Linked DNA regions of Mytilus edulis. The protein of the gene in region 1 interacts with the protein of each later gene in a pairwise test. Links are inferred from orthologs where the notes say so. Each region holds a gene or a part of one and is shown in the gene's direction. Other genes may lie near its edges. The genes, in order: centrosomal protein of 70 kDa-like; enkurin domain-containing protein 1-like; CWF19-like protein 2; ribosome assembly protein METTL17, mitochondrial-like.

Region 1 (7,478 bases):
CTTCAGCTTCATCAAAAACTACATTGACCAAAAACGTTAACCTGAAGCGGGACAGACGGTCGGACGCACAGACCAGAAAACATAATGCCCCTCTACTATCGTGTGTGGGGTATAAAAAACGAACCACAACAACAGCTAGTATAGAAACTTAAGAAGTAGTAGCAGGAATTCTTCCACTGGACCTCAAAAGAAAAGAAACCGGTTTAAGGCAAATTGCAAAAATAAAATCATATAAAATCACTATCCCTATTAAACTAATTTTTGAATATTGAAAGAATATAAATGAACCTGAAAAAATAATCTCACCAATTGGAAGAATGGTATTACAGTCTGAAGACATGATGAGGTCAACAGAGATTGATTCTGAGGGTATAGATATAAAAAAAAAGATGTGGTATGATTGCCAATGAGACAACTGTACACAAGATACCAAAAATGACACAGACATTAACAACTATAGGTCACTGTATGGCCTTCAACAATGAGAAAAGCCCATACTGCATAGTCAGTTATAAAAGGGCGTGATATGACAATGTAAAACAATTCAAACGGCAGTGATTTTGCTAGCGATCGTCACTTTCGTAATTTACGAAAGAGTTTTCGCATTGACGAAAGTATTTCAAATCAATTTCGTCACTTAAATTTTGAAAGTGTAAAAAATATTTTCGCATTAAAATACTATAAAGGACTATAAATCTACCTGTTTCTATGTTTTTGACAAGTTTATGACCCTCAGGTAATTAACATTTTCAACAGGTGTTACAAGTTGTGATTACAACTAATCCGATTATCGCCATCAGATGGGTCACTAATCCGTTTATTATTAATAAACCTCATAGTTGACCATCATAATTATTTACTCAGGAAAATCAGTCAGTTGACATTTCAACAACCAGGTGTATATTATAGTTTCGTCATTTAATCGAAATGGTTACCCCCGGACAGTTCGCATTTGAAATTTCAATATTTCTCTAACGATCACAATTTGAAGATCATTTGTCGTAGATTCGTCATTCGAACGCATTTTCGTCATAATTGATATAAATTGCCATCAAAAACTTTCGACAATTTCTATTTAAAATATAGAACTGTATTCAAAACGTCGCGAGTTAAACAGGTGCTTCCTGTACTGTGTGCTACGCATGCGTGGAAGTACTTATGACTATTTATAGACTCTGAATAAAAATGTAAAATACGAAATCATTTAGATCAATTAAACGAGAGAGACAAATATATAGCTCTAACTAAAAAAAATTCAACCGAAAACTGATAAATTCCTGATGAATCCGGACTTTATCATCCACGTGTCACTTCCCGTTTTCGTTTCATTTTAAAACCGAAAGTAGTAAACGTGATCTATTCTTGATTTATTTACAACCTCCTTTCAGTCGTTGTACTCGTTCCAAAAGGATTTTATACAGTTCCAACTTAATAGAAAAGATTTCCAAATATTGATTTAGACTTTTTATAAGGATAATGATTATGCAGTGATATTATCATTGCAAGTTAATTTCTGCTGTGTACCCTTGTTTAAAAAAGAAATAAATCTTAACTTTTGTTGATCAGGAATGTCCTCTGGAACAAACTGAAGAGAAATTGTGAACTAAGTTTCCACATCCCATGTCAGAATCTTTCATAATAAGGGCCAAAAGTCAAATCATATAATACTGTTAGACTGCCAATCATGCCTAAGCCCTTTAAAATCTGACAAAGTCAAAGATGAAGCTAGTAATATAAATCCTTGGTCCCTTGCTGTTACACAAAAAAAAGGTTGATTTTCATAGCGCGCTAAAGTGACTAAAGCCCTCAAAATCCTAGCTTAAACCCTGTAAATCAAACGAGAAATCTAACGGCCTTATAGTATGAATTGGAATTCCGAGGGTTAGCAGCCTCAAAATCACCACCAGAGTATTGGAAAAATCTCAGAAGTTCAAAGTCTAGATCAAAGGAACAAGCTTTTCAGGGAAAGACTATTATTTTGAAAAAATATATCAACTAAAAAAAAATACAACAATAGCTTTCGCTGGTGGCTCCTGCAGAGGAAACCCAGGTTGTGGGCTGGGGAAGCTATTTTAATACCAAGCAGCACAGAACATGTGGAGTTAACACAGCCAGAAAACAACAGAAAAAACACAGAATCCATCAAAATTTTCTCAGACAGCCAATCAGCAATTGGAATTCTAACTTTAAATTGGAAATCGGTTAATTACGGCAACTATTCATGTTATTAAAATTGGTATTTGGCACTTAAATCTGAAGGAATCATTGTTTCCATTGAATGGACCCCTGGACGCGCTGAAATACAAGGTATTGAACTAGCAGACCAACTAGCTAAATAGGCAACACAGGAGGCAGAAAAAAATAGAAAGCATTCCAATAGTCACAAAACAAGATATATACAAAAAGGAGCAAAAGACAGTGTAATGTTAAAACGGCAAAACCGATGGGACAACAGTAGTAAAGGAAAAAGATATTATTCCTCCCAACAAAATGTAAAAAATACACTTCTAAAAGACAAACCATCAACTGAAATGTATCGGATATCAACTAGCTTAAGAACAGGATATTGTAATTTAAACTCGTACAAATCAATGATATGCCCAGCACTCAACAACAAATGCAGCTGTGGACAAAAAGAAACAGTTGACCTTTATCTACTGTATTGTGAACATTATGAGGAGGCTAGAGAGAAACTGTGCTCTGCACTTTACTTCATAACATCAAAACTAACACTTGAATCAGAAGTATTATTAGAAACAACAGAAATAATAGATGATATTCAACATTTGTTAGGGGTTTTTATTAAAAATACTGGAAGGTTCACAAAATAAATAGTTAAGGTTTTATAAGGGTTAATTATTTATTGATTTATTTTTTTATTTATTTTTTTATTTATTTTTCTCTGCGGTGCCACATCATAAATACAAACGTACTAATGAGTTTTATACAAAAGCGACATAAAATTACCAGAGTGATCTAAATGAATCCGGGTCCGTTCGCACACACTCATGTTCGCCCCCTTTCACTTTCGCACCCTACATGTTTGCACCCAAAGTCTGTTCGCACCCTACATGTTCGCCCCCAATTTTAATTGGTTTTGTGTTTGATAACTTTGTAATCAAATTTTTGTCAAGTGTATTCTAATAAGTATAATTGTTGTCATCGTCTCAAAATAAAGTGAGACAGCATTTTTTTGTGTTGAACAAATCTTAATCATGTTTTGGATAGTGTATTGTTAAAAAAATTAATAATCCTTTCTAAATAAAGTGGGATTCTGTCAACGTTTTATTTTGTGCTGAATAACTCTTAATCATGTTTTGGTTAGTGTATTGCTATAACTTTTGTTTCATTGACTTGTTTTAAAATAAAAGGAGATTCTGACTACGTTTTTTTCTTCTGTGTTGAATAAATGTTATCATGTTTTGGTTATAATAGTGTATTGCTATATTTAATTGTGTTATTGTTTCAGGTCAAAGGGACCAAGCTGTTAAAAACAATTATCTTTTGTGTTTTTCATTTAAAATCTTCAAAGTTTTACTCATATTAAGCTATAAATACATTCAGTATTTACACCAAAGCAACTTTAAACAACAATCATAATTTTCCAATTATTCAACTGGAATGTGAATTAAAATTGGGCACGAATGTGTAGAGTGCGAACGGACCTTGGGTGCGAACATGCGAGGTGCGAACGTGTAGGATGCGAAAGTGTTTTGGGCGCGAACGGACCTGATACCGATCTAATACAGAGAGATTATAGTGTCAAGTTGACACTCACTAAAGACTAAAGACATTTTGCACTAATTTTGTACACTGGCAATAGCGTAGTGATGTCAATGCAGAAATTCTTCATGTAAAAAGTACATTTACAAAGTCCTAACAAACTGACATGAATACCGATTATAGACTACGGAGTACGGCAGGATATGACGGCCGGAGAGGAGAACACTGCAACCGCAGAACTGATATATCACAAAAGTTCGTGATTGAGCGTTATTTCTCACAAATGCATTGGGTACTTTGTGTTATATTAAGGTATAGATACAAATGTACACATGTATATGTTACAAAATTCAGAAACATTTGCCTATGACTGTGTGGACAACCTGTCAACAAGGTAGGAGGATTTAAAAACTTTTGCAGAGGTTACCAGCTGGTTACATTTTGCATACAATTAAAATACTTTTACTGTTTAGCAGGTTTAAAAGTTCACTTTACCTTAAAGCATATAAAGGTATAAAAACACAGATTTTAGCGAAGAAGAATGAAACGATCTGCCTGGCAACACTTACACAAAATCCGGGCACTTGTTACTTCGTAAAGCCGCAGTGAATTTCGATCCAGTAATAACTATTTTCCCACTGTTTATACTTTTAAAATATGGTATGAAAAATTTACCTGTTAATTTTATTTTCGAAAATATTTTTTTTTATTGGAATTTCTTCCTTAAATTATTGAGTTTTTGTAAACAAAACAGTGTCGCATATGTAAACAACAATGGCGGCTTTTGGAAACAGATATTTTGAAAAATTGGTATTTGATTGAAATTATTGTACAAATCAATTTTTATATAGCTATAAAATGCTGATTTTGAACATGTTTTATCTAAGAAAGATGGATATTGTAACATATTCTGATAAGTTAACAAATAATCTGATGTCAGTGCCCGCTAAAATTTGAATTTCTTGGCCCACTTCAGGCACTTGCTTGGACATGTTTCCTATCCGTAACTTCGATAACACTTATTATACAGCTATGAAATTATTTTATTAAGAAGTACCTGAACGTTGATCGACATTATGCCTCGCAGAGTAAATATTTCACATTTGAATCACATTTTTACATTCTAAAAAATCAACAGAATTATAAATTTAATGTAACTCAATGCTACTGTAGTATACTGTGCAGTAGGTGGTCACTTACTAATGAAAATACACTTTGTCATTTGTGTAGTCCTTCTTTAAGTCAATAAATAAAAGTTGTTTTGACTTTATTCGGTCATTCTTGCAGGTATATACATTTTATTTTGATATTGAAATGATTTTTAGTGCATTTTTCATGATTAAAGGTGGCATTAACCCTCTTGCTGCCAAAGGGACATTTATGGCTTCTACACACAAATCTTGTTGATTGTGTAGAACGTCAAAGGTTCATTGTAACGTCACAATACTCAGGGGCACTGACAACGTCAAAATACGGCGTCAAAAGGGCGATTTTGGCGGGAATGAAGCAAACTGAATAAAATGCTTTAAAAGGATACTTAAAACGGATGTCAAGAAATGATACAGGATCATAAGCTTGTTAGTACTATAATACCAACTTATTTAACGTGTTAACTAATTATCTAGTTCGTCATTTTCATGTAAAATGTTGCATTTTGTCGAGAAATTTACGTTTTTTTTCGTACATCTATCAATCAGAATATCTCATATAAAGAAAAAATCTTATCCCTGATAAAAAATCATAAAAAAGATAACTGTTATACTTGATGACGTTAAATATTAATAATCATTCACAATACTCCATACACGCTTTATTTAAAAGAACTAGATAATTTATTTAGGGCTCAAATACTACGATTGACATAGGATTTTTTTTGTAAAAGTACACACATGTTAACCGATGTACTTGTATTGCCATACGATATTTCAATACATTTTAAACCTGTTTCATCAAGGAAGCACTGCCTTAAAAATGTTTATTTTCATTCGAAATGGGGATGTTAAATTAGAAGTAGACACAATGATTTCCATTCCTATCATATATATCATAGATGTCCATTCCCAGATGCAACCTCTTTTTTCTGGCATTCACCACAGATCTTTTACTTTGTAGGACTGCTGTTCAAAACTCATAAATCTATGGACAAAAAACAAAATCGGGGTAACAAACTAAAACTGAGGGAAACGCATTAAATATTAGAGGAGAACAACGACACAACATTAAAATGTAACACACACAGCAACGGACTAAGCATTAGACAACATCCGATGAGAACAATTTATCAATTAACAGATGCTCGGAGATTTTATTTATTTTTATGAATTTGCACACGCTTTGTTTATATTTTCATTTTCATTGAGTGCCGTTGTTTTGCCGTTTATATATGATTTGAGAGATTTTTTTACAGTATTTATACCAATTATCTAATAAAAAAACGAGAATAAATATTTTACTATTTTATAAGTGGTTAAGAATCATTTATGCATTTCACTTGACAAAGATAAAACAAAGTCGCCTTTAAAGCTAGTATAGCAATCGGTATATTATTTTCACTTTATTTTAAGACAAGAAAGATAAAAAAAAATATATTACAAGGTTAAAAGTTGTATTTTTAAATAATCTTGTATTAAAAACATCGTTTATGACAATCTTGGAGCATATTTAATCTGTAAAATTACTTATACATCGTTTTCATAATTACGGCTACATTGACGCAGGAAAAATCATGGACGGCGGGAAAGCGCAGTTCTACAGAGAGGCACAAGTTTTGCAACGTCACACATAAGAAACTTCAAGATGCTTTTGGCGCGACAAAGCAAGAAAAAAACTCGGCAGCAAGAGGGTTAATGCACACACATACTGTATGTAAAAGTGACTGTTTACATTCATTTTGAAATGTTTATCTATGCTATTATCATCACATGAATTGGGAAAACACATTCAAATTATGAATATGTTGATAAGGTCGGTAGCATGAAGCTCATACAACTTACAATACAGCTTTTAATTATTTGTTGTTTTGAAACATTCAAGCTAGTTTCCATCATCATCAAGGTTTCAAGTTATGTCCTTCACCAAAAAAGTTTCAATTATACATGTATATGCATGCATTTATGATGTCATTTACCTAATAAAGGGAATCATGTGCCTGTATTCCTGAACTTTTATAAAAGTTCATCAAGGGTTTAGTAAATGTCATTATGCAGGATAAAGTACAAATAATGTTTGCTTTGTAGGTACTTATCACCCACTCTCTTAACATGGGACGGAAGTGATAATGCTCCAAAACGCATGAAATTCATTCAGAATGATGTTCACTAAAACCAAAGTTTTTTTATGGAAATGCAAAGAACTTGAAAGTGGTCTATAGGTTTCCTGTACAAATATTACATTCCTTTTGAGAAAATGTCCAGGGGTTTGAAGAGGAGGTTTCAGTTCTGGTAGCTATGTCTTGATAACCTTGCATCAAAATGTAGCAGTTTTTATATACATGTGTCTAACAAAATGATTGCCATCATCAACTAAGAAGACAATAATCCTAATATCATGTCCAACAGTAAAACTATTAGCAGCTTTTATACTGTCTGACATGGACATTAGGTCATGCTCCTTTGGATTTGTCAGCCTAAAAATCAGATATATTAGGCCAAAAGATCAGATAGATTAATAAGAAACCTCTTTTATTGTCAAAATTTAATCTTTATATATTGTAAAGTTGAAAACTTATTTGGTATTTGTGTGTGTGATTAAAACTG
Region 2 (7,505 bases), on another chromosome or scaffold:
TCAGAAATTTGCAATTGATCTAAATTAAACTGTGGAAAGAATATTCATTGAATCAGCTGATTGCTCATGACAAAGAAACTTAAGTAAGAACTTAGATTGAAAAGTTTTGTCTTTAGCAAAGATAGCAGATTGTAAATGAATGTCACCTGTACTGTTTCTGTCTTCTTTTCTTCTTCTTCTGGTCGCTCATCATCTGAAACTTTATCTTCAAGTTCTTCTGGTTCTTCTGTAACTTTAGTATTTTCTTCATCACTAAAAATGAAAGAAGACCATTTAATATAAACTTAAATCTCTTTATTCCCCTCTTTAAAAAAAAAACCTTGAGAAATTACATCATTATATAATGTCTCTAAAAAGAAAATTCATCAACATTTTTTTTAATTAAATTACTGGTATCTCTTGATATTCAAGGCCATGGTTCATTAACAGTTCTTTACTTCTTAATTAAAATTACATTTACATTTCAAATATCTTTAAAAGTATAAATTTTTAAGAATGTTATAGGCATGACCGCCTTTCAATAGTTGAAGTCAGAGTATTTGGATGAATATTTAATTTACATGGCTGTATAATATATAAACATTGGCATCTGAAAACAATTTAATTTTAAACGTCAAAAAAGTTGAACATACAGAGATGGTGGTTCCTCGTCAATAACGTCTGGATGTTCATCAAACTCCTCGGCCACAGGTGAGATAGGACGTCTAGGGATGATATTTTTAGGTACAGAACCTTGTGCCCAGCAGTCTGTAGTAGCTGCATCTGGTTCTGTAAAACGAAATTAGTAACATATTAGCCTATAGTTTTTGTACCATGTACATTTAATTTATATTGTGATTCTTTTTAAACTTGTTTTCAATTTTGACTATGTTCAGGAATATAGAGACTTGCTGATGGGTATTTACTTACAACTTTACAGTGATAAGTTTATTGAAATAATGCAAGTTTTCATTTTTACAAAACTAATCCTGGTAAGAATACCACAAAACAAGAAAAAGCAATACACAATTTTTTTTTTAAATTTTTTATGAGTTTTGTTCTGCTTTTTTTTAAATATGTTTTTTTTTTCCATTTTGAGTGCTTTATGTATGATTGGTAAAAATCTTTTTGTTAAATAATTCATTCAGAAATCAGAAAATTGTTCAACACATTTACATCTTTGACTATTATTCTATACCTTCATCTTCTATCCATCCTTCTCCAGTTGATTCAAGTTCTGTCTCTCCTTCATCTCTAGATAAAAATTGCCACTACAAAAAAAAAGAGAGTATAATAGAAGGCAGCAATAAAAAACACTAGCCTCAGTTACATATCATTTACAAAAAATAATGAAACATTATTAGGAATAGGAAAGTCAAAACCAAAATGAAACTTGTTTTTGTTGAAGCTATCAACTGGTCACTGACATATCAAATAGTCTATTCACTAATTCTACAACTGACCATGTATTAGAGATGTATATATATGTACAAGTTGTTTCCCTTATAGGGAAAAAACTCACATTTTCATTTCAATAAGCAGCTGGAGGAATCGCAAGTTTTAGCTGTGCATTATAATGTGTGTATGTTTACAAATCTATAAATAACATTTAATCTTTTGTTAAGATAAAAACTGTTGATATCAATAGTTATTTGTTATGTTGATTTATAGGAAATGTATGGTTATTACCTCTATAACTTGAAGGATAGCATCCTTTGCCATGGTAACAGTGAATGGTAATAACTGTCTATCTAAATATAGTTTATATATTTTATCTAGTGATGTATCAACAATTTCTTCCACAATATCCTCAATGAAGTCTTCTGCTCCATCTTTATCCAACATCCAGGTCCTTAAATTACAAAAATTAACAATTATGGATCTACACTTTCATGCTTTTTTAAAATTCATTTTGAGAATATTATTTTAATTACCCATGATTTCTTTTCCAATTTCAAATTTGAATATGAATTATTGCTGATTTAAATAAGTTTTTGTATAATTTTTGTTTGAAAAACATTTTATTAAAAAAAAATGAGGTTCTCAGTTATTTAATCCCATAAAAAACACTTTTGTATACAAAGAAATTCAAGTATTCTCAGCATACCTGTATATACCTTAATCAATAAGAATTATACTGCCATCAACATAAAAACTGAATCAGAAAATACATGTACATTTTGTATATATATTACCAATATGATAATAACAATACTATGATTATTTATCATTAGTTGCATTGAGCACAGCATGCAATAGCAAGGCCATCACAAATAATGTGTCATGTTTTATATTTCTTAAGTCAGGGAATTAAAATAGAAATACAACTTTGGTGATTTCATGTACTTTTGGGTCCTTTTTGGGGGATATTATATGATTGTTAGTATTACAGACAAACCAGAAAATACAGCAACAGCATTTTTGTTAGACAAACTACATTTGTTACCACTAGTGGGGAAAAAAAATGTCTCAGGTCAATTTTGGGTTAATTTGAGGTTTATAAAATATATTACACAATAAACCTGTGTAAATAGTCACAGGTTCTTTCAATTGAGATGGCAGGTCACGTAGTTGCTCTCCAAGGTGTCGGGTCAGATTTGACAATGAAGAGAGCCACATATTTTTTCATGATTCAAATGTTAAATTTCTGGTAAACACTTATGCATGGAATTGCTATACATGTATACTTTCCTGTACAATTTCAAATAACCATAACTCTTAAAAAAAAATCAGGAAAATGTAGCATTATATATATATCATATGGAAGTCTTTGCTCGATCAGAACATGCTCAAAGAACACATGAATTAGGGCTTTTTGTGTAAAATAAATAAATAACGTTTCAGTAACTGATTATAAGTTATTGTGTGAAATAGATATGGACTGCATGTCTTCTCTGAGCATGCACTTAAAACAAAAAAGAGTATCCTATTTAGAACTTTCTTTTTTGAAGACAACCAAAGCAAAATGACTCTTTCAAGCAGGGTTGTTTTAGGGTTCATGTTGCTCATCTTCAGTATCTTGTGAACTTTACATTGTCTGAACATTACTCTTTTTTCACTTTGGCAATGTCTGTCAATCATTAGAGGTTTTTTTATTTAGCCTGACCCTTTTGGTATATAAAATCTTACTGTTTGGTCACTGTATGAACTCAGCTTTTGCTCAATTTTCTTATTTACTTCCAATGTGGACATTATATATTATTATCACATATAAATGTCAATGATTTCAAAGACAAACATTCAAACATAATTAATATTGAACAAAACAAAACAAAGTTAACAATTTTAAACTGTGTTAAATAAATAAAGAACCAGCACAGTTCAGCAAAATTTGTAACATTATGTCATACTTACCGAGCCCTATTAGAGGGATAAAATTTTAATACAATGAGTTTTTTGTGTTTACTCAATATATGTGGTTATCAATGTATTCTTTGGTAATCAATTCAGACCAATCAATAATTAATTCAGGTCAACTTCAGAACATGCAATTTGATTTCATAATATTTTGTATTGTTTTAAACTTTGAGCTCTACCTTCGTTTTCCTTAATATATACATGTAAATGCAGTTTCCGTAGCCCTTAACCAGCAAAAACCAAATTTTCCTATCTTTGGGTGACCTACATTTTTTTGTAATTAACTTATTTGGAACCCCTGAACTCATGCAACAGAAATGAGACAAGCCCACTACTACAAGACTACCGAAGTTTTAAAGGTACAAATTTTAATGATTTGTAAATTTGGTATGAGTTAACATGCCATGGTAAGATTGATTTAACTTGTAAGTGGGGATTTATCAGTCGAAAACCCTTTCAAATTGTTAAAAAAATTTATGTAAAACAGTCGTGGGTTTAATAACCGCAAATTTTTGCAATTATCCTCATTTCATGACTTTACGTGCTATAAACATGATTAAAATATGCATTGTGACGTTATAATTTCCGTTGAAAAAACATGCGTAAAACGAATTCATATCATATGACGGTCATTGACGTACCGAAACATATAATCTGACCATATATATATAAGTCACTGACTGCGGATCTTAATGTGCATTTAAGTTTGAAAAATTTATACAAACCAGTCCTGATCATTGAATTTTCCTGGTACAATTTCATGAGCAACGACTGGAGTGTGGGCTGGAGCTGGTTTTGAGCCCTTGTCAGCCCGAGATTTAGATACTGCAGCTCTTGACATTGTTTCTACAGCCGGATTTACTTTTTCTTATATTCAGAACACTATCAGACACTTAAAAATAGCTACATATTTCGCAGTTTAGAATATCTAAACACTTTTTCTATTTTCGGGCACTAATATTTTTTATAAACCGGATGTTTGAGTTTTCATGGAGACGAACAGGTATCGTAATTTCTCGAGTCAATATTTAAAAAAATTCAAGTAATGACACAATTACATTGAACATGAAAATAAAAATCCCGGTTATCTTTATATGAAAATTAAAAAAAAATAATTCAGAAAATATTGAAAATTCGAACGTCACGTGATCGAAACAATTTACAATGGAGTCCTGTCAATAGTTTACCTTGTCAACACACGTTTTGGCCATTTGAGAAACAAAACATCAGTTTATCGCAAGTGAGAAGAAGGAACAGAGTATAGTTATTATGTAAGACATGCAATATGCAACCCATTCTCACCATTGTGATGCAGCAAGCTCTAAATGACAGAGCTCGTCCAAGTCCGAATCTGACTGCAGCAAACCCATAATTTCTGAGTGATTCTTGAAACGTCACAATGCATTGAAAAGACCATCAGAGTTCGGCATTAGTTCAAACAGTTCGGTGTTAACATTTGTATAACAGCACTTGTGTCTATGACATCAAAGATCAGCAAATTAATCTTGTTATTTAGACTGGATTTTTTTTAAATTTATTTGTTTGGGTTTTTCTTTAGAAATACCAGATCTTCCCTAAGAAGTATATAAACATATTAAGTTGTATACCCCTTATCCCTAATCACGGCTGACCTGGCTGCTTGCAATTTTGACGCATTCAACAATCACTTTTTCATTGTGGCATCAGATATTTTGTTTTATGACATCAAAATTTTACATGAACCTGTGTGATATACAGTACAGTAATTGCGGACAAATAGCGATAAGGAGTATTTTGCAACAGAATGACCTTAGATCTATCTCCCTATCACCTTTGACGTTAAGGCTTAAGCAACAATCACTTTTTAATTATGACATCAAAGTTTTGAATTATGATGTCAAAGTTTACTGAAACCTGTGTGATTTTACGTAATGACAGATACAAATGGAAGTTTTTAACAACCTTGACTGGCTATATAGCCCTTGCACGGTCTGTAAGGGCAGATAAATTTGCATACAAGCCAGTCAAGTGTCAATATGTCTATTGTTTAAACACCTTATCGCTACATTTTGTATTCCCATCTGACCTGTCAAAATTAATCTGCACCGCTTAAACTATTGACGTCATTCAAGAATCACCTTTACCTTATGGCATCAGATATTTTACAGTTTTTGAGTTATGCCCCTTATAAACATAAAAATTTCTAAATTTTTTTGTATTCTATGTTCTGAATTTTTAGTTTCCGTTCACCTTATTATTTATGTTTGCCTTTACCAAATATTATCAAACTTATACTCAAAGTCACAATCATGACAATGCTTATTACCCAAAATACAGATCAAATTTATATTCTGGTTCAGTGTTCTCCCCAGGCCGTTTTAGCATTGCGGCATATTTTCAACGTTTATAAATATGCCTGGAACTTCAGTTTTAACTTGCATTTAAACTTTATTCTACATTCCCTTACCTCAACCCTAGGTTTTCAGCATATTTCAATTTGACTGCATAATATGCATAATATGCAGTCAAATTGAAATATGCTGAAAACCTAGGGTGAGGTAAATACACATATGATGTGTATTTACTAATAACCATTCACAAGTCATGTCTCTACGAGATGAAACATAAAGATCATATTGGGGAACCAGTATGAAACTATTAATATCTATTAAAATTATATATCTTCCAAGCATGATTTGTGAAAAAATATTTACATCGTGCAACCTATAGCTTGTTTTATTCAATTACTAACAATTATTAGAATTTGAACTTAACCCCAGACATTTCTGTGAAATCAAAAGAATATTTAATTAGAATATAAAGCCACTGCCAAGCAGTGCATTTCCCACCATCTTTGTCTTGCAACAAGTTGGAAGTGCTAATATGCATTTACATTAGTTATTTCTTTTACATTTGATAGATTATTAGTGTTCTATGAGGTGTGCTGTCCAATAAAGGGACCAGAGTAACAGACAATTGGTCATATTAAATTATATATTTTTATTATTACAAATTGCCTACTTCATTTGCTTTAATATTTTATATCAATCAATTAAATCAAAATCAATCATATTATGTACTTTGTTTAACCTAATTTACTTTACATTATGTCTGAAAATTATATTGTGATTATTCTGCTCATTTTGGGCGCTGTGATTGGCAAATAAAATATTTGTTTGTTTGTTGTTGTTTGCTAAAACTAAGCTTTTGTCTTATTTTTCTTTCAACCCTAGAGTGTTTAAATTTTCCTGTGTGGCGGTGTTTCATATAAAAATGCTACAAGACTTGAAACTAAATTGTATTCTGTCACATCGAATTTATAAATGGTCTGTATGAACAAACTTGGTGATTTTACTGCCAATTTGTATTCTCCCATTTATAGGCCTTTGGGTGATGTCAGATATAAATAATATGTCAATGCAGAGACATACATCATTTGTACATATGTCTCTGGTCGAAGGCATCATCAACATGATCATCCTGATCTACGGATCACCAGAGGCCACCCCTACATGTAAACAATTGTAGGATACAAGTAACCAGGTCCGTTTACAAAAGGAGTAGGTCCAGTAAGACCCCTTTTTGGCCCCAAAATATAGCAGTTAAATTGTTAAAATGTAAACTTTTAGTTATTTATTGGACAGTAGAATGCTTCTGCTACATAAATATGGGCTGTTTTTGACAATACAATGCACATATATCGGGTACTAGCACCATTAAGTCATGCTAAATTACTGAAATCTTCACAATTCTAGCATTTTAGTTAAATTTTAGACAGTTTTCGTGTGAAACGAAAGTGGCCGCATTCGTGTTCATCCTTAATATTGAAATGTAAGTTGTATTTTATGATAATACATAACATATATAATGGTTGAGGATGAACACGGATGCGGCAACATTCATTTTTGACAAAAATCATCTGAAAAGTGTCATTTTTCGGCAGATTTGGTAGATTTTTCATATTTGAGCTTGAATCGGGTTGTTTTTAATGACTAAATCAGTTAAAATCTTTCACATAAATTAATTGATTCAAATGAAATAGACACATAAGTGTTTAAAAAGTGGTCAAAATCTTTCGTAAGATGAACCTGAAATTTGAGGCCAAAATCAGTCCTTACCGGACCTACTCCTTTGTTTGTGCAAACGTTGATAATTTTGCTTGGAACAAACTTTTATTGAATGAACACTGC
Region 3 (7,567 bases), on another chromosome or scaffold:
CCAAAATAATGCCTAACTGCAGGTTTTAGTGACACTATATAAAGGGTGGTGTTATCTTTTGTTCACCCACTTGCTTATCTCTAATAATTTTATTATTGTGTGCATGTTAAATGAATTATCTATATACCTATATATGTATAGATATCCGCATCTTCGCTAACCAATGGTTACGATCCAGAAGCGGGAAGTGCATATTGTAACCCTTGGCCAAAACTTTTTTTTCCATAATTTATTTTTTCATAATTTTTCTGATTTAACATTTGAAGCATTTTAAAATAGTCATACTTTTGATCTGAGTTAACTATTTGAAATATCATTCCAGTCAGCTAAGAGGTATTTTTGAAAAATTAATTCTGTTCTGTCTTTATGTTTGTGTATGTGTTGCTTTGTTTGAATGTAATATATTGTACCTTGTTTTGTGGAGAGGGCTTACATAGGCTATGCCTGTTGCCCAATCCAATTCAATTTATTTGAATAAAATATTGTTTAAACTAAACTAACCATTGGCCAGCAAAGCCGTATAGGCCTACGGCAATTGTAATTATTGTGTATACATCACGGAGAATTCGTTTCCTAATAAAGGCTATCATTGGGTGCACGGGGGATGTGCAAAAAATATGGGTCATAATCATATAGGAGGGGGGAAAAGGTTACGAAATTTTATTTAAAAATGACCCTCCTTTTATAACATCATATATTAAAGGCACTGGCTACGGTTACACGGAAATGTAACAATAAACAATAATAAAAATATTATTGTTACATTGGAGACTAAATGCCGGGATTCATGGTTGGGGAAGGACCTGTTTAATTACGAATGTAACAATAATTATTGAGGCTACGGTTACATTGCGTTATTGTTATACATAAAAAAAAACCAATGTACGATAGGACTAGTAATATGTACTAAATAATAAAAGTTGAGGACATTTATTACATACATTTATAACATACAATTTATTTACTGTAATTTTTTATGTACAATGACAATTTCTACAAATCCAGTAAGTTGTTTTTAAAGTCCGACACATTTTTGATGAACGAAATTACGTCCTCCACGGATACGTGCACATACAGAATTTCTTAGTATTTAAGTTACAGTTAGCAAACTTTGCTTTTGATTATCAATTTGCGTCAAGTTATAAAGCTGTATGAAATGTATGTCTTGATATTGTTTCAGTTTCGTTTTAAACGTATCCCAAGTTTTATTTTTTTCACCATAAACAAAATTGGTCCAAAGTATAATGACAGTAATAAGAGTAGGTGTGCAGTTACTTACTTACTTAATGACAGTCACACTCCGAATCTTGAGTAGTATTTTTTAGAACATCAAAACCATTAATACGTAGTAAAACTATTCAAGTTGTACACCATAATGATTTGTAGCCAGTGCCTATATTAAAAGGCACTGGCTACGGTTACATGGAAATGTAACAATAATAAAAATATTATTGTTACATTGGAGACTAAATGCCGGAATGCATGGTTGGGTAAGGACCTGTTTAATTACGAATGTAACAATAATTATTGAGGCTACGGTTACATTGCGTTATTGTTACATGAAAAAAAGCAATGTACGATGGGACTAGTAATATGTACTAAATAACCAAAGTTTATAACATTTATAACATACATTTATAACATACAATTTATTTACTGTAATTTTTTATTTACAATGACAATTTCTACAAATCCAGTAGTAACTGTATCTTTAAGAACATCAAAACCATTAATACGTAGTAAAACTATTCAAGTTGTACACCATTTGTTGAATAATAATATTTTATTATTAATCAGTATTAAATAACAAGTATTGTTTAGTACATATGAAAGAATGAAGCAATACAACTATGATAGAAGATTTAAGTTAATCAATCTAGCGTACATTGCTGTTTTTCATGTAACAATAACGTAATGTAACCGTAGCCTCAGTAATTATTGTTACATTTGTAATTAATCGGTTCCTCACCCAACTTTGCATCCGGCAATTAGTCTCCAATGTAACAATAATATTTTTATTATTGTTACATTTCCATGTAACCGTAGCCAGTGCCATATTAAAATGCCTTTACGTATGATAACTGTATATTGATTTGGGGCAGTATGATTTACATATCATATATGTCATACTCATATATGAATATGCTACTGGGAATTTTACATTATTAATGGTCAATTGCTATAATTTTAAAGGCTTTAAACTCTATTCATTTGATAGTTCATCACCTTTCAAATAAATTCCCTAACGAACACCGGAAATTTGTCTCCTGATTTGTATATAAATATAGGTCATTCTTACTGAATAGTCATATAACGATAGGGAATGCATTTCAGTTAATGTTTTGTTAAAATGTTTACGTTTTTGAGACAAAAATGGCACACACATACCGGGCGGCAATGCTTACTTTATAATAAACAAATATTTGTTTTGTAATCGAAATAACTTTAAATTAGAAAATACATCGATCTGATTTATAATTTGGTCAAATTAGCATTTTTGATAACACTGTCAATATTTTCATTCAATAATTTTAAATAATTTTACTGATATATGCCTGCTATTTTTTACCGTCGCTACGTTACCTGTTACCTGTTACCTGTACTGCAACTCCCTCCTATGTCAGGAGAACCACCAATCCTAGAATCGGTGTAATATCACTCGCGGTTAAAATCCTCAAGATTATGTTTAAAAGATATATAAAACCTTTAAAACTATAAAAGAGATATTAATTTATCTCCTCTGGGGGATGTGACCCTATCACCAATATTTACATTATTCTGGTATGCATAAAAAGTCATCCATCATTCAAATATAAAAGTTGCTTCTTTCATATTAAAAACGGTAAAATGTAAATACACTATATACAACAAAATGTTCTATCTTTTGGTATGACCCTTCTTTTCAGCTCGGTATTACACGCTTTTAATCACTGTTCAATTAATATTGCCCGTTGCTGGAATAATTTATGACACAGACCTCTCGATAATGTTTCTATTCTATTCTGTGCATTCTCATTTAAAAATCTAAATTTTGAGCAGTCGATAACTAGCTGACACAAATGTTCGTCATTGGTTATTAATTCTTGGATAAGATCCTGATCCTCTAGGTTTTCTGTCAATACCTCGCCTATCATATGCAGAAAATCATCTCTTATATATTGTAGCTTAGAGCACTTTAATATGAAGTGAAGTATATCTTCTTCTTCCTCTGCACATAACTGGCAAATAGGCGACACATGTCCATTGCTAAATTTAGCTCGATGATATTGCAGGTATATTGTCCCTGTTGCTAACTTTGCCTTTAAGGAGGCAGATGTGATGGCATATGGATTTGTGCCACAGCTTTTCCATATGTTATGTATTTTCCCTTCTTTGACATTTTCATAATTTAGGCGAGACAGAGTAGATTTCGATTTTGCTTCACTTATCATTTGTTTTATACAGTGATCATTGACGGTTTTATTTACCAGGTTTTTCCAAAGTTGTTTCCCTGGTGGGTTATCTATAATATCATATGGCGATGGTAGGTCATATATATTGGCAATTTCAACAGTTTTTGTAAACCAGCTACCAGATTGTAGAGATTTTGTTGCTAGCTGTCTGATAGCTAATTTTCTTTCAATTGAGTTTTCATTTCTTATGATATTTCCAAAGGTTTTCAGTATTCGTTTATGTATTTCTGATTCAATGGTAATCCGTCCGAGAAGAAGATGTGAAGCTACGTTTGCAGTTCTGTCTGGCAGGTGTTGAATTTGTCGCAAGAGTTTTCGAAAATAAGTGGAGAGGTTTTTCATGTCTTCAGTAGTAAGTGTGATGACATCGAGACCATATAACAATCGAGGTAGAACGTATGTTTGAATCAGATGAATTGCAGCTTTTGGGTTTACTCCGTTAAGTCCGTGAAGACCTGCACCCATCAGTGCATATACTGTTCTCCTTGCTGTAATGATCCGTTTTTTTACGACAAGTTTTGTGCCTGTATTTGAGGTATTGTCCCTCTCAATTCCTAGATGTGTTGATGACGTTGGGGTAGCCATAAGTTTGCCATTTAAATGCCAATTACATTCTGAAGAATCGTTAAAGGTAAGTACCACAGACTTTTGTTCACTTATTTCGTATCTGTTCTTGTTTGCAAAACTCGATTGGATATCCAGCATGGTCTGAAGTTCATATGGGTCGGTTGTAATTAATGTGACATCATCAGCAACAGTTGGAATACCACAGTATATTGAGCCAATGGTGGCTCCGATTTGGTTTTCTTCAAATGTTGTTAGTAGGGAGTTGACGAATATTTTATATGCTGACGGGGACCATATTCCTCCTTGTCGTACTCCTTGTTGTTCTATGATTTGATGGGAGAGTTCTCCTTTCCATTTAACTTTTGATGTCAATTCTGTATACCAATTTTCAAAAAATAGCCAGTTGTTTCCCTCAAGTCCTGTTTTGTGCATTTCTCTTAGGAGTCCTAAATGCCATAGTATATCCGGCTACGTTTCCGGAAATGTTTTTTTTTGTTCCGTCAATTGTTCTTTATTTTACCTTATATACTTTTCAATCCTCTACGTTAGAGAAGATGAGTGCTATTGCATTTGAGGGAAAACGGTACTATTTATTCTGCCATAGGCGACAATGTTCACATTTTCTAAATTTACCACTTTTTAAGATAAAAACCTGGATAAAACAGCTATATGTTGTGATAGTACTTTATTACTCTGTTTTAAAAATTAAAGCCAAATAGTATCATGACCAACTTCCAACGGAGCTTGTTTATGTTATCCATGCCCACCGTCATTTTGCACCAAATTTATGAAATTTTGCAAGTCTTTTCGAATAATTCTCTAGAAAATATTTCATTAGGTTTTAAAATTTACATTGTAAATATACACACTGCAGTTATTCATAGATAAATAAAAAATATATTGTACCCTTACATCCAATCACAGCGTTCCTAATTTGACTTCCTTCACCTGCCTTGGGTACACAAAAGGCCAACCTAATGCTGGGAAAATTAAATACTACCGTTTTCCCTATACTGTGACATAAAGATATAAAGAATTCTTATGACATTATTAATGCAATACTGGGCTATTGTGAAAACCTTGGCTATAATAAATACTTGTATGTCTCCAGTACATAAAGAAACATAGATCATTTTATGTCCCCACCCCTACATGCTGGTTTACCTCATTCTCTACTTCTTTCAGAAAAGCCTTAATAAACAACCTGTATCCAATCATATCTTATCTTATTTAAAAAGAATGATAAATAGTTCCATTTAAACAGATAAAATGGACAGTTCCATTCAATTTGTATTCATTTTATCAAAAATTTACAAGAAATGCACAAATTCAAGATTTTTCATACTAATCTCCATTCCATGCTTTAGTATATGCCATATTGTGGTTAAAAATTTTAGAGCTTGTTATAAAATCTATTATTCTGTCTTGAGATGATGAAAACAAAGATATTAGACACTTTAAACATTAAATATGCAAACTACTCAGCTGTAAAGTTGTCTTTGTTGCCTGTATTAATCAATGAAAAAGCTGAATTATGTCCCTTGGGAGTATTAATTTCCAACAAAAGTCCTTTCAAACAGTAGGAAATGAAAAATTATTTATGTCTGATGTAATAAAAGAAAGAAACTACAAAATGAAGCACTTTTGAAATATTTGCTGCATGCATTATCAAGAATGTGAACAATTCTTTACACAGGAGAGTATAAGTTCTATGTAAATTTAGCCTCAAGTGGGCCTCTTTTTTCTTAGATGAACAATTCTAACACTGAAAATGCTTTCAATGTGACCAAATATTGCCTAATTCCATAAACAGTACAAACTAAACCAGACAATTTCCCATCTTAATAGATTATGTTTACAGAAATACCCAAGTTATACATTTAGGGAATTACGCAGCAAAAAAGGCAAACATTTCAGTAAAAAATATTTGTCGCGACTTGAATTCTGGTGTTTCCAATTGAAAAAATCATTGCGAAAGGTGAAATCAAATACAAAAGAACTATAATATGGTGCATTTTACACAATATAGTTAATATTGACATCCTAGAATAAAGTTTTATATCATTACCAGTCAATTTGACCTATCATGATGACTCAGCACTTTTCTAAACACAGTATTGTTCTCAGTGAAAAATTTCTATTCTTTGTGATAAAAATCAAATGTAATAATCAAAAGCTTCAAAATAGTATAAAAGAATTGAAGTTTGAGTGACTTTGATTTCCCTTGCTATCTTCAGTATAGGGAAAACGGTACTATTTATTCTGCCATAGGCGACAATGTTCACATTTTCTAAATTTACCACTTTTTAAGATAAAAACCTGGATAAAACAGCTATATGTTGTGATAGTACTTTATTACTCTGTTTTAAAAATTAAAGCCAAATAGTATCATGACCAACTTCCAACGGAGCTTGTTTATGTTATCCATGCCCACCGTCATTTTGCACCAAATTTATGAAATTTTGCAAGTCTTTTCGAATAATTCTCTAGAAAATATTTCATTAGGTTTTAAAATTTACATTGTAAATATACACACTGCAGTTATTCATAGATAAATAAAAAATATATTGTACCCTTACATCCAATCACAGCGTTCCTAATTTGACTTCCTTCACCTGCCTTGGGTACACAAAAGGCCAACCTAATGCTGGGAAAATTAAATACTACCGTTTTCCCTTGAAAGCACAACAGACAAAAAGACTAAAAGAAAGGAAATACAAGAAGCCAGGGATTATTTAGTTTCCAAAGTAATTTCAGATAGAAAAGGGGTCCACGTTTATGTAGTTTTCGCCCCAACTTATTCGCCAATGAAGCAAGATTTCTCTAAAATTATTTAAAGTCTATTTTTTTATAGCCTCTAGGGCAAGACAAACACACCATACAATAGACAACTTTCGAGTTCGATGCATTTCAGTTTTTAGGAACAGTCCATCATTTAAGGTATATCCCTCATTGAAGGAAGGGGGGGGGGGGGGGGGGGGGGGGGGGGGAGATGTAACCCAGATAATCCCTTTTGGAAATTCAATTTCAAGAGCTATTTCTTTATTTGCCCAAATCTGATAGGTTTTGTGCTACAAATGTTTATGTCTGTTTTGCATTATTCATTTTGAATCTTAATTTAAGGCGGACCTGGGTTTATAATTTGTCTCCTCAAATGAGTAAGTTACACTGCAGATTACTACTGAATACTGCAATGTTGTATTCAGTGTTATGTAGAGGGTGTTTCAACCCTATTTGATTGGAAATTTTTAGGATATAATTGTCCACAAATATTTTCATGAGATTTTATATTCCCTTTAATGGTATACGTAGTACGCCCTTCTTTATAAATTCCCAGATCCACCCCTGATGTGTGTATTTTTAACATTGATATATATATAGCACAACTACTGTATAATGGATGTCCGAAAACTTTCCTTCAAGGCTAAAAAGGAGTATGAAAAAGAGCAATGGAAAAAAGAACAAGCCAAATTAAGAGGAGAGGATACATGGATGCTTCCAGCATTAAACGAGAGACTAGAAAGGGAACAAAAGGTAATATGATGATA
Region 4 (7,750 bases), on another chromosome or scaffold:
ATCTGATATATATATCAGAAATACAATATCAGTTAACATGGTAAAGTGTGTGTTTCCAAAAGTAGACAAGTATCGTTAAAATATAACATAAAAACAAGCTATATGTAGACTGTTTAACATGATGTTTTCGATCATATAACTTTTGATATGAAGATAAGAAGATTATTGGGTGAGGTCTTTCTGAAGTTTTCCAGAGCTTTGCCTACTTTTAATACTACTTAACTAAGGTTCTGCAATGCTGCTATAAATTTCTGAAGATAAATAAATAAATTAAGCTTTATAAAATAACTCCTATAAAGACTTACACACCATTCAGCCAGATCTGATCTTTTGTAAAGTTTGGACAGGCAGCTATTGTAGTTTTAGTCCTCAGCTGAAAATAAAGTGTAAAATATACATGTAGAGTACAGTCAGATCTGATCTTTTGTAAAGTTTGGACTGGCAGCTATTGTTGTTTCAGTCCTCAACTGAAAATAAAGTGTAAAATATACATTTGTACATGTCGATTACTGTGGATTCATTTATTTTCGTGGGTACCAATTTTCATGGTTTGAGGAAAATTTGCATATTCGTGGATATTTAATTTCGTGGTTTTGGCAAAGTCTGCACACATTACTTTAGAAAATTTGTAATTCGTTGAATATCTAAATTCGTGGTTCTCCTGTACCCACAAAACCATGAACATGATGAAAATTAGTATCCAACGAATATAAATGAATTCACAGTATTTTTTTTACTATTCATGAAAATACTATTTTCAAAAAATCTTTCACAATTTTATAATTTATTTCCTGCCAAAAACCATATGAGTATTTTCAACAGATGTAAATTACCAACAGTTGATAGTGTTGTGTTATAAGTATTACATGCAAAAAATTTTTTTATTTCAAGCATTGACATTCATTTTTTTAATTTTTAAAATGTTAGATTTTCATATTCATGCATCATGTGCATAGAAACAGGAAAAGACTTTCTATGAAATGGAAATAGCATTATAATCATGATACAACATAGTAATAAGACTATGATTCTGGTTCATTTTCCGATACCAATATTTTTGGGGATTAAAAATAAATAGCATTTTCAGGGATATCATATGGATATCATGGTTTTGCCTGCAGTCTGTATACAAATCCTATAAAAAAAAACTTTGTTTAATATTAAATAAGTTGTTTTTCTATATTACCCATGATATCAATGAATATAGGCAACCCACCAAATCATTATTGAAAAATAATTTGACATAAAAAGAAATTGTCAAGAGGAACACAGCCTGCATTCATGTTAGAAAATGACCCATATTTTCATGACAAATATTCTGATAAACGGTCATGCAGGTTTGATATGAAAAAATACAACTAACTGAGCGAAAGCTGTTGATGTGGAAGATGCTAGATTTGTTCATTTATTAGGTTTATATATTCAACCAATAAGTTAAGGATACAGGTCTATTTGGACAGAAGCTTATAAGAGGGTTTAAAGGGTTATTTTCATGCAACTTTTTTGCCATTTTTATTTCACGTGCAGCTGTGAAAAAGGTTCGTTGTTCACTGTGTTTCATGAAATCAGTAAAAAGATCAACCTGCAACCATTTTTCAATTGTTCGTTCATCGTGAAATGGCTATTTTGTTGGTCTCATTGGGGTCTAAGTGTGACGTGGGATTGCTGATTTTTTTTGTAAGCGTGACACGTGAAAGTCAAATTATTGTGCCGTGAAAACGGGAAATGAAGTCTGGCGGGACACTGGAAATTACAAAAAAATGAGAATTCCTTACGTACATAGTGTAAGCGGGATACGGGAATCTGACACAACAATAAGCGGGATCCAGGATCAGAACCCCCCCCCCCCAATGAGACTCCCAATTTTATTTTGTGTTCTTCTGTGCACATACCCCCCTTTACACCCCTCTTATAACTATGCCAAATAAATAAACATTAGCTGCATATTCACCATGTTCACAATACCTCATTCTGATGAAGTGTCACACTAACTGAAGAGTTCAATGGCAGTATCAATTTCTCATTTCTCTTTCCCCCTGAAATTTAGAAAAAAAAATTATTCATTATACATTTTAAATTATAGGTCATTTTTAAATTATAATTCATTTCCTATTCATTTATTATGATGATCATTTATGAGGTTTTATAATGATAATTAAGGGATTAGTGACCCATCTGATTGGCGATAGGCGGATTACTTGTCATCACAACTTTTAACACCTTTTTGACGAAATTGATATGAAATATTTTCGTCATTTCTAAAACCTTTTCGTAAAATACGAAAGTGACGAGCGCTAGCAAAATCACTGCCTATTGCCTATATTGTAATGTTTTAAAAACAGGCGACCATGTCTAATGATGTCACATGAAAAGAACACAATTTTCCACAAATCTTTGAAAAGGAATGATATTTTTTTAGATATCGTCTACAAATCATTAGAGAATTAGATTTTACTACTATCATGACTATATCATGTGTATAACAATACCTCTCAACTCTCAACAGTAAAATTTTACATATATTCAAAACGCATGACAAGACTCAAAATTTAACTGTCTGGAGTGGAGAAATACTGTAACACACTTGATGCAGTTGTGGAATCTATATATCATGTATATAAATATAAGAAGATGCTGGTTTTTTTAAAGCAATTCTCTATTCCTGATTTTTTCATAAGCTGTATATATTGTTAACATAATTATAACACGTCTAGTGTGTTTATGAAGTTATACATACATGTATGAAACACAAGTGTGCACAAACTGAAATGTATCACCTGCTTTTATAACTGTGTTTGATATTTTGTTGGTACATGTAGTCATACATTTTTACTACAAATATCACATAAACTTAAGTCTTCACATTATCATAATCCATGAAATGAGTCAAGGTCAGATAAACCATTTACCAATACAGACAGACATGTAGTTATTGTACACTTTAAATCTTTTCATATATACTAAATATAGTTTACATATTACATATAGTCATGATACATGTAGTAAACAAGAAAAAGACCAGTGAAACCATGAAATTGTAATATTGAACAAAGAACATGAAGAACAATGAAAAAGAGGTATAACTGAATAATCATGTTTTTATTTCAATTTGAATTATTAATGTATTTTACATTTGCATGATTAAATTGATTGATTGGTGGTTACTTAACGTCCAGTGGCAAATATTTCATGCATGTTTTACATGGTTAACATGGTTTAAGGACATGAACTAATTAACAATTAATAAAATAGGTAGGCCCTGTCACAGCCTCACAGGTGCTTGAGGATAGGATCCTGTATGAGCCCCATATAGTACCTCCCCCTTATTATCATAAATCTCAGATTTTTCGATACATATATCACTTATGTGTACCATATATATACTAATATATCATATTTTTACTATAAATATGCATGTTTACTATCAACGTGAATCTCAACTATAGCGCTCCTGTCCTCAAGCATCTGTGGGCCCTGCTGCAACAGACCTACATACGAGGGGGAGGACAGGGGTAAGGAAGACAGGGAGAAAGGGGTAAGGAAGACAGGGAGAAAGGGGTAGGAGAAAGGAGAAAGGGGGTAGGAGAAAGGAGAGGAAGGCTGGGAGAAAGGAGAAAATGTTTGAGAAAAAAATTAAATATGAAAAAAATTAAATATGAAAAAATCTTTTTTCCGGTAAATTAAAAAAAATAAAATAAGGAGATGAGGGGTAGCAGAAAGGAGAAGAGGGTGGGAGAAGGGAGAAGGGTACCCCCCTGTCCTCCCCCTCACATACCCCTAAAGGATCTGAATTTTCAAGGTAAATGGCTACTTATTCGACCTTTACTGCTTTTGAATAGTAGCACCTGGCCCTTTACATTTACATTAAAACTGCCATTGATACTGTAGTTCCTTACAATATTTAATAACAGCAATATTTACAGGTCCTGTGCAGGTGTCACACTGCATTTCCTGGCTTGTGTAAGATGAAGGAAAACTGCTGAAAGCTTCCGAAAGTAAATATTATTGACCGTGGCCTGTATTTCATATTTTTTTTTTTTTTCAATCATATGGTTTTTCGAGATAACTAATTGCAGATAACCACAAAATTTTCTTTTTTTACGAATTGGTCTTCTCTTGCAGCTGTTTCTGTTTTATTTAATTAATGTCCGTCGTTGTATGTATGTACTGGTAAATGCCTCCGATATCCGAAGAACCCCTCGAAAGCTGCGAGGGTACAGTGGCATCCATGTACACTCCCTAACGGGATTAATGGAGATGTGTCACTAACGTATATTTATACGACAATTATTTTTACAAGGACAACCAATCCCCACCCAATTCAACACAAAGGGAGTGCTAGGACACCGGGAAGTCTGTTATTGTGGTGGAGGAAGCCGAAGTACTCGGAGAGAACCACCGGGCCACTCGGTGGAAACAGACAAACCAGAGAGATATCAGAAGATTGATCTCCAGGTCAAAGTAGGGACACTTTGACCAACCGAGGCCCCCAACGTACCCATTCTAGTTTAAACTCCGGTCTGGGTACCAGAGATGTGTGTGAGAGGGTGAAAATTACCCTTCTAATGTACTGAGATTTTTAGCACCCCGAGTGAGAATCGAACTCGGGACCTTCAGCACTGTAGCCATCGGTCTTAACCACTAGACCACGAACCGTTGTCTTTCTATTTAAATTTTCTTTTATGAAATATTAGACAAAACTTGACTTTCGGTTTTTTCTAGGGTTTTCTTTCCATTCAACTTAGAAAAATGGCAGCCCCCATGCACAGGGCAAGAGTTTCTTCTTGGAAACTGTTTTCTCGACAATATAGAAAAAAATCGACCAAAATCATACACCCATCAGAGGTAAATCATCCGTTTCAAATTTTTTTCACCAACCACGTTAATTTTTATCTTTTTTGCCACCTTAGCTTGAACTCTGAGATTCGTCTGACATTCGGTTACACAATCATGACATGAGGGTCAGGTAATGGGGGACCTTCATGACGAATAACGGTAAAAATTCTTGTCAAATGATGTTAATGGTAATTTTTGGCGCATGACACTTTCTTTTAGACGAGCTAATTTTAACCAATCACAGTAATTTTTTCCCTAAAAATGACGGTAATGATAATTATTTGAAACCTCTAACGAATCGCGAATCACGATAAGGATAATTTGATGAATCATGGTAAAATTTTAACCAATTTGACGCTAACGGTAGCCGAAAATGACCGTTTCACGCCTGATGGTAAAGGGCATTACTACCCTCAATCATGTCATGATGTCCAGCTGAATTTAAATATGAGGCAGGCACAACCTGTGAATGGGGATGAAGTCTGTATGCATTATTTTTTTGAATTCAAACATTGATAAAAGAAACAGAAATACCGTAACGTTCCGATTTTGGTTCGGTTGTTAGGGATTTAGCTGTGACGTAGTCTAGCTGTGACGTTCTTAAAGTTAATATGAGGCAGGCATTACCTGTGAATGGGGACGAAGTCTGTATTAATTTTTTTTTTAATTCAAACATGTTGACTGATAAATATATATTTTATTCAAAGTCTCATGCAAACAAGACCGGAAAAGGAAGTAGATTTTTTGCGCGAATGCGGGGAAAACTGGAACAGGAAGTAGATCTGAAAAAAAAGTTAACGATTTTGAGTTCATTTGTAAAATTTTTCTACCATAATTGGGGACCTCGTCCCCATACAAGTTTTCCTCTATACTTGTTATCTCAATATCTGTATTATTCATACCCCAACACTCCTGACCCAAAGACAGGTCGGACCACATCCACTCTGACCATCTAAAAAAAACAATTCAGACCATATAAGAAGACAACTCAGACTGTCAATAAGACAACTCGGATCGTCTATAAGAACAACACAGCCAAAGTGTTAAAGGAGGATTTAAACTATACATAAATTATTATAAATTATTAAACAATATATTTTAGATTGCAACATCATTTCGCCATGTTACTGACTTTGCAAAAAAAAAACAACACCAACTCGGATCATCTACAACACTCAACATGCTAAATTGTCTATATAGGCATCGCTTCATAGAAAGTCCGAGTTATTGTTATTTATATAAATTGACTGTAAAACTTTCATCAGACATATAGCTTTCACCCTTAAATCATTTATTTCATCAAAAGTCTTATTTTATACTTAGTCTGAGTTGTTATTATAGACGGTCCGAGTTGTCTAATTGACGGTCCACGTTTTCTTATTGACGGTCCGAGTTGTCTTCATAGACTGTCCCAGTAGACTTTAATGGAGACAGTCTTAGTTGTCTCCTGGCCGACTTCTCTTGCACCCGTCCTTGTAAACATTGTTGTAATAAAGTTAATCAAGATAGGGCATGTAGGGAGTGTACACAGATTCTACTGTACCTTCGCAGCTCCTAAACATGTGCCTAAAAGTGGCTTTAAAACACAAAAAATCTTATATCTATGACATTTATAAACAAACATACATTTTTCGCTGCTTTGAAGACCCATTGGTTGTCTTTGGCTGTTGTCTGCTGAGCTATGGTCGGGTTGTTTTCTCTTTGACAAATTCCCCATTTCCTCAATTTTATACAATGTAGGTAACTTCACAGTTAGTTCGGCCATATTGAATAGGGGAGCAAATTTGTTTTCGAAAGAGGTGGAAATGGTTATATATATGAATTTTTTTTTACCTTTTGATAGATAAATGCCTATGGTTTCAGGAAAGGTATCATTCTAATGTATTGAAATTTTAAAAATATTTTGGTTTGCCCAAACCCTACCCAAACATGGAGACAGTTAGGTAGGTAGGCATTTTCTTTTTCTTTTTTTGACAAAGAGAAATTTAAGTATTGGACATCATGGACATGTTGGATGTTTAGAAGTCTTCATCATATTCATGCATATCTGATTAAAAAAAAATCACATGAGGACAATAAAAGATTTTGAGTCTGCAGCTATTTTCTGAGTAGGTAGGGCAAACAAACCTATTCTTTTGTTTGACCCAATTATGGGGACTTTTGTGACATTTTCACACCCTTTTAATTATTTTTGCAATATTTTGTATCAAATAAATGCAGATTGTTGCTATATTTACACCAAAAAGAGAATTTTTCACCATTATCACTCTTGCTCTTTCAATAAATATACACATATATATAAAGCCTTATTTTTCAGAAAAGAAGGAAAAGAATAGTGGTTAAAAATTATGAGTGTCAATTTATAGTTTTTTTCCTAACTGTGTATTACTAATTTTATGACTGGTCAAACCGAAACGTGGTAAATCATCATGATCATGATTAACATTCATTGACACTATGTTGCTAGTAACCTACTGAAGGCTTTTTTGTTATGGCCCCGCAACAAAGTTGTCAGGGACATTTAGTTTTACCCTTGTCCGAAATTCTGTAATTCCGAAATTCCATAATTCTGAAATTCCGTAATTCCGTAATTCCGAAATTCCGTAATATTGAAATTCCGTCATTCCGCAACAAACCATTATACAGGTTTTTTTCTAAACAGCTTTAGATATTGGACTTATTTTTGGTATGTGAGTTAACCATGATGAGTTACAGATCAAGTTTGAGTTTCGTTCCGCTTCACTAGTTTTTGTCGAAATTACGGGCTTTGGACTGAGAAACTGTTGAAAATCTCAGCTATATGGTTTTTTTTAAGGCCTTTAGATTTTGAGCAGATTTAGTATATGTGAGACTACCATCTTGTTAGTGTCCGCATGTGTTGTTGAAATTGCAGATTTTTCAAATTTTTGGAACG

Evidence for each region.
Region 2: the proteins of centrosomal protein of 70 kDa-like (region 1) and enkurin domain-containing protein 1-like interact in binary tests that used the Homo sapiens proteins (3 or more experiments, as listed by UniProt). The link is inferred for Mytilus edulis from reciprocal best matches to the Homo sapiens genes CEP70 and ENKD1.
Region 3: the proteins of centrosomal protein of 70 kDa-like (region 1) and CWF19-like protein 2 interact in binary tests that used the Homo sapiens proteins (3 or more experiments, as listed by UniProt). The link is inferred for Mytilus edulis from reciprocal best matches to the Homo sapiens genes CEP70 and CWF19L2.
Region 4: the proteins of centrosomal protein of 70 kDa-like (region 1) and ribosome assembly protein METTL17, mitochondrial-like interact in binary tests that used the Homo sapiens proteins (3 or more experiments, as listed by UniProt). The link is inferred for Mytilus edulis from reciprocal best matches to the Homo sapiens genes CEP70 and METTL17.

What each region holds. Positions count from the first base shown.
Region 1 is NC_092345.1:56,957,632-56,965,109, forward strand, and holds the start of centrosomal protein of 70 kDa-like, read left to right. Parts: upstream 1-4,464; 5' UTR 4,465-4,497; coding exon 4,498-4,533; intron 4,534-4,678; exon of another isoform or gene 4,679-4,799; coding exon of another isoform or gene 4,800-4,811; intron 4,812-7,478.
Region 2 is NC_092352.1:85,469,647-85,477,151, reverse strand, and holds the start of enkurin domain-containing protein 1-like, read left to right. Parts: upstream 1-4,483; 5' UTR 4,484-4,607; intron 4,608-4,638; coding exon of another isoform or gene 4,639-4,706; exon of another isoform or gene 4,707-4,752; intron 4,753-7,505. Other genes in the region: uncharacterized protein C2orf81 homolog, read right to left, coding at 147-252, 633-768, 1,178-1,250, 1,669-1,831, 4,062-4,177. UniProt on the Homo sapiens protein: Microtubule-binding protein which regulates microtubule organization and stability. Promotes the stability of astral microtubules and facilitates the proper orientation of the mitotic spindle.
Region 3 is NC_092347.1:12,299,775-12,307,341, reverse strand, and holds the start of CWF19-like protein 2, read left to right. Parts: upstream 1-4,549; 5' UTR 4,550-4,573; coding exon 4,574-4,602; intron 4,603-6,702; coding exon 6,703-6,766; intron 6,767-7,442; coding exon 7,443-7,553; intron 7,554-7,567. Other genes in the region: uncharacterized protein, read right to left, coding at 2,928-4,451.
Region 4 is NC_092348.1:13,935,886-13,943,635, reverse strand, and holds the start of ribosome assembly protein METTL17, mitochondrial-like, read left to right. Parts: upstream 1-4,727; 5' UTR 4,728-4,749; coding exon 4,750-4,845; intron 4,846-7,750. Other genes in the region: diphosphomevalonate decarboxylase-like, read right to left, coding at 306-373, 1,966-2,036, 3,897-3,948. UniProt on the Homo sapiens protein: Mitochondrial ribosome (mitoribosome) assembly factor. Binds at the interface of the head and body domains of the mitochondrial small ribosomal subunit (mt-SSU), occluding the mRNA channel and preventing compaction of the head domain towards the body.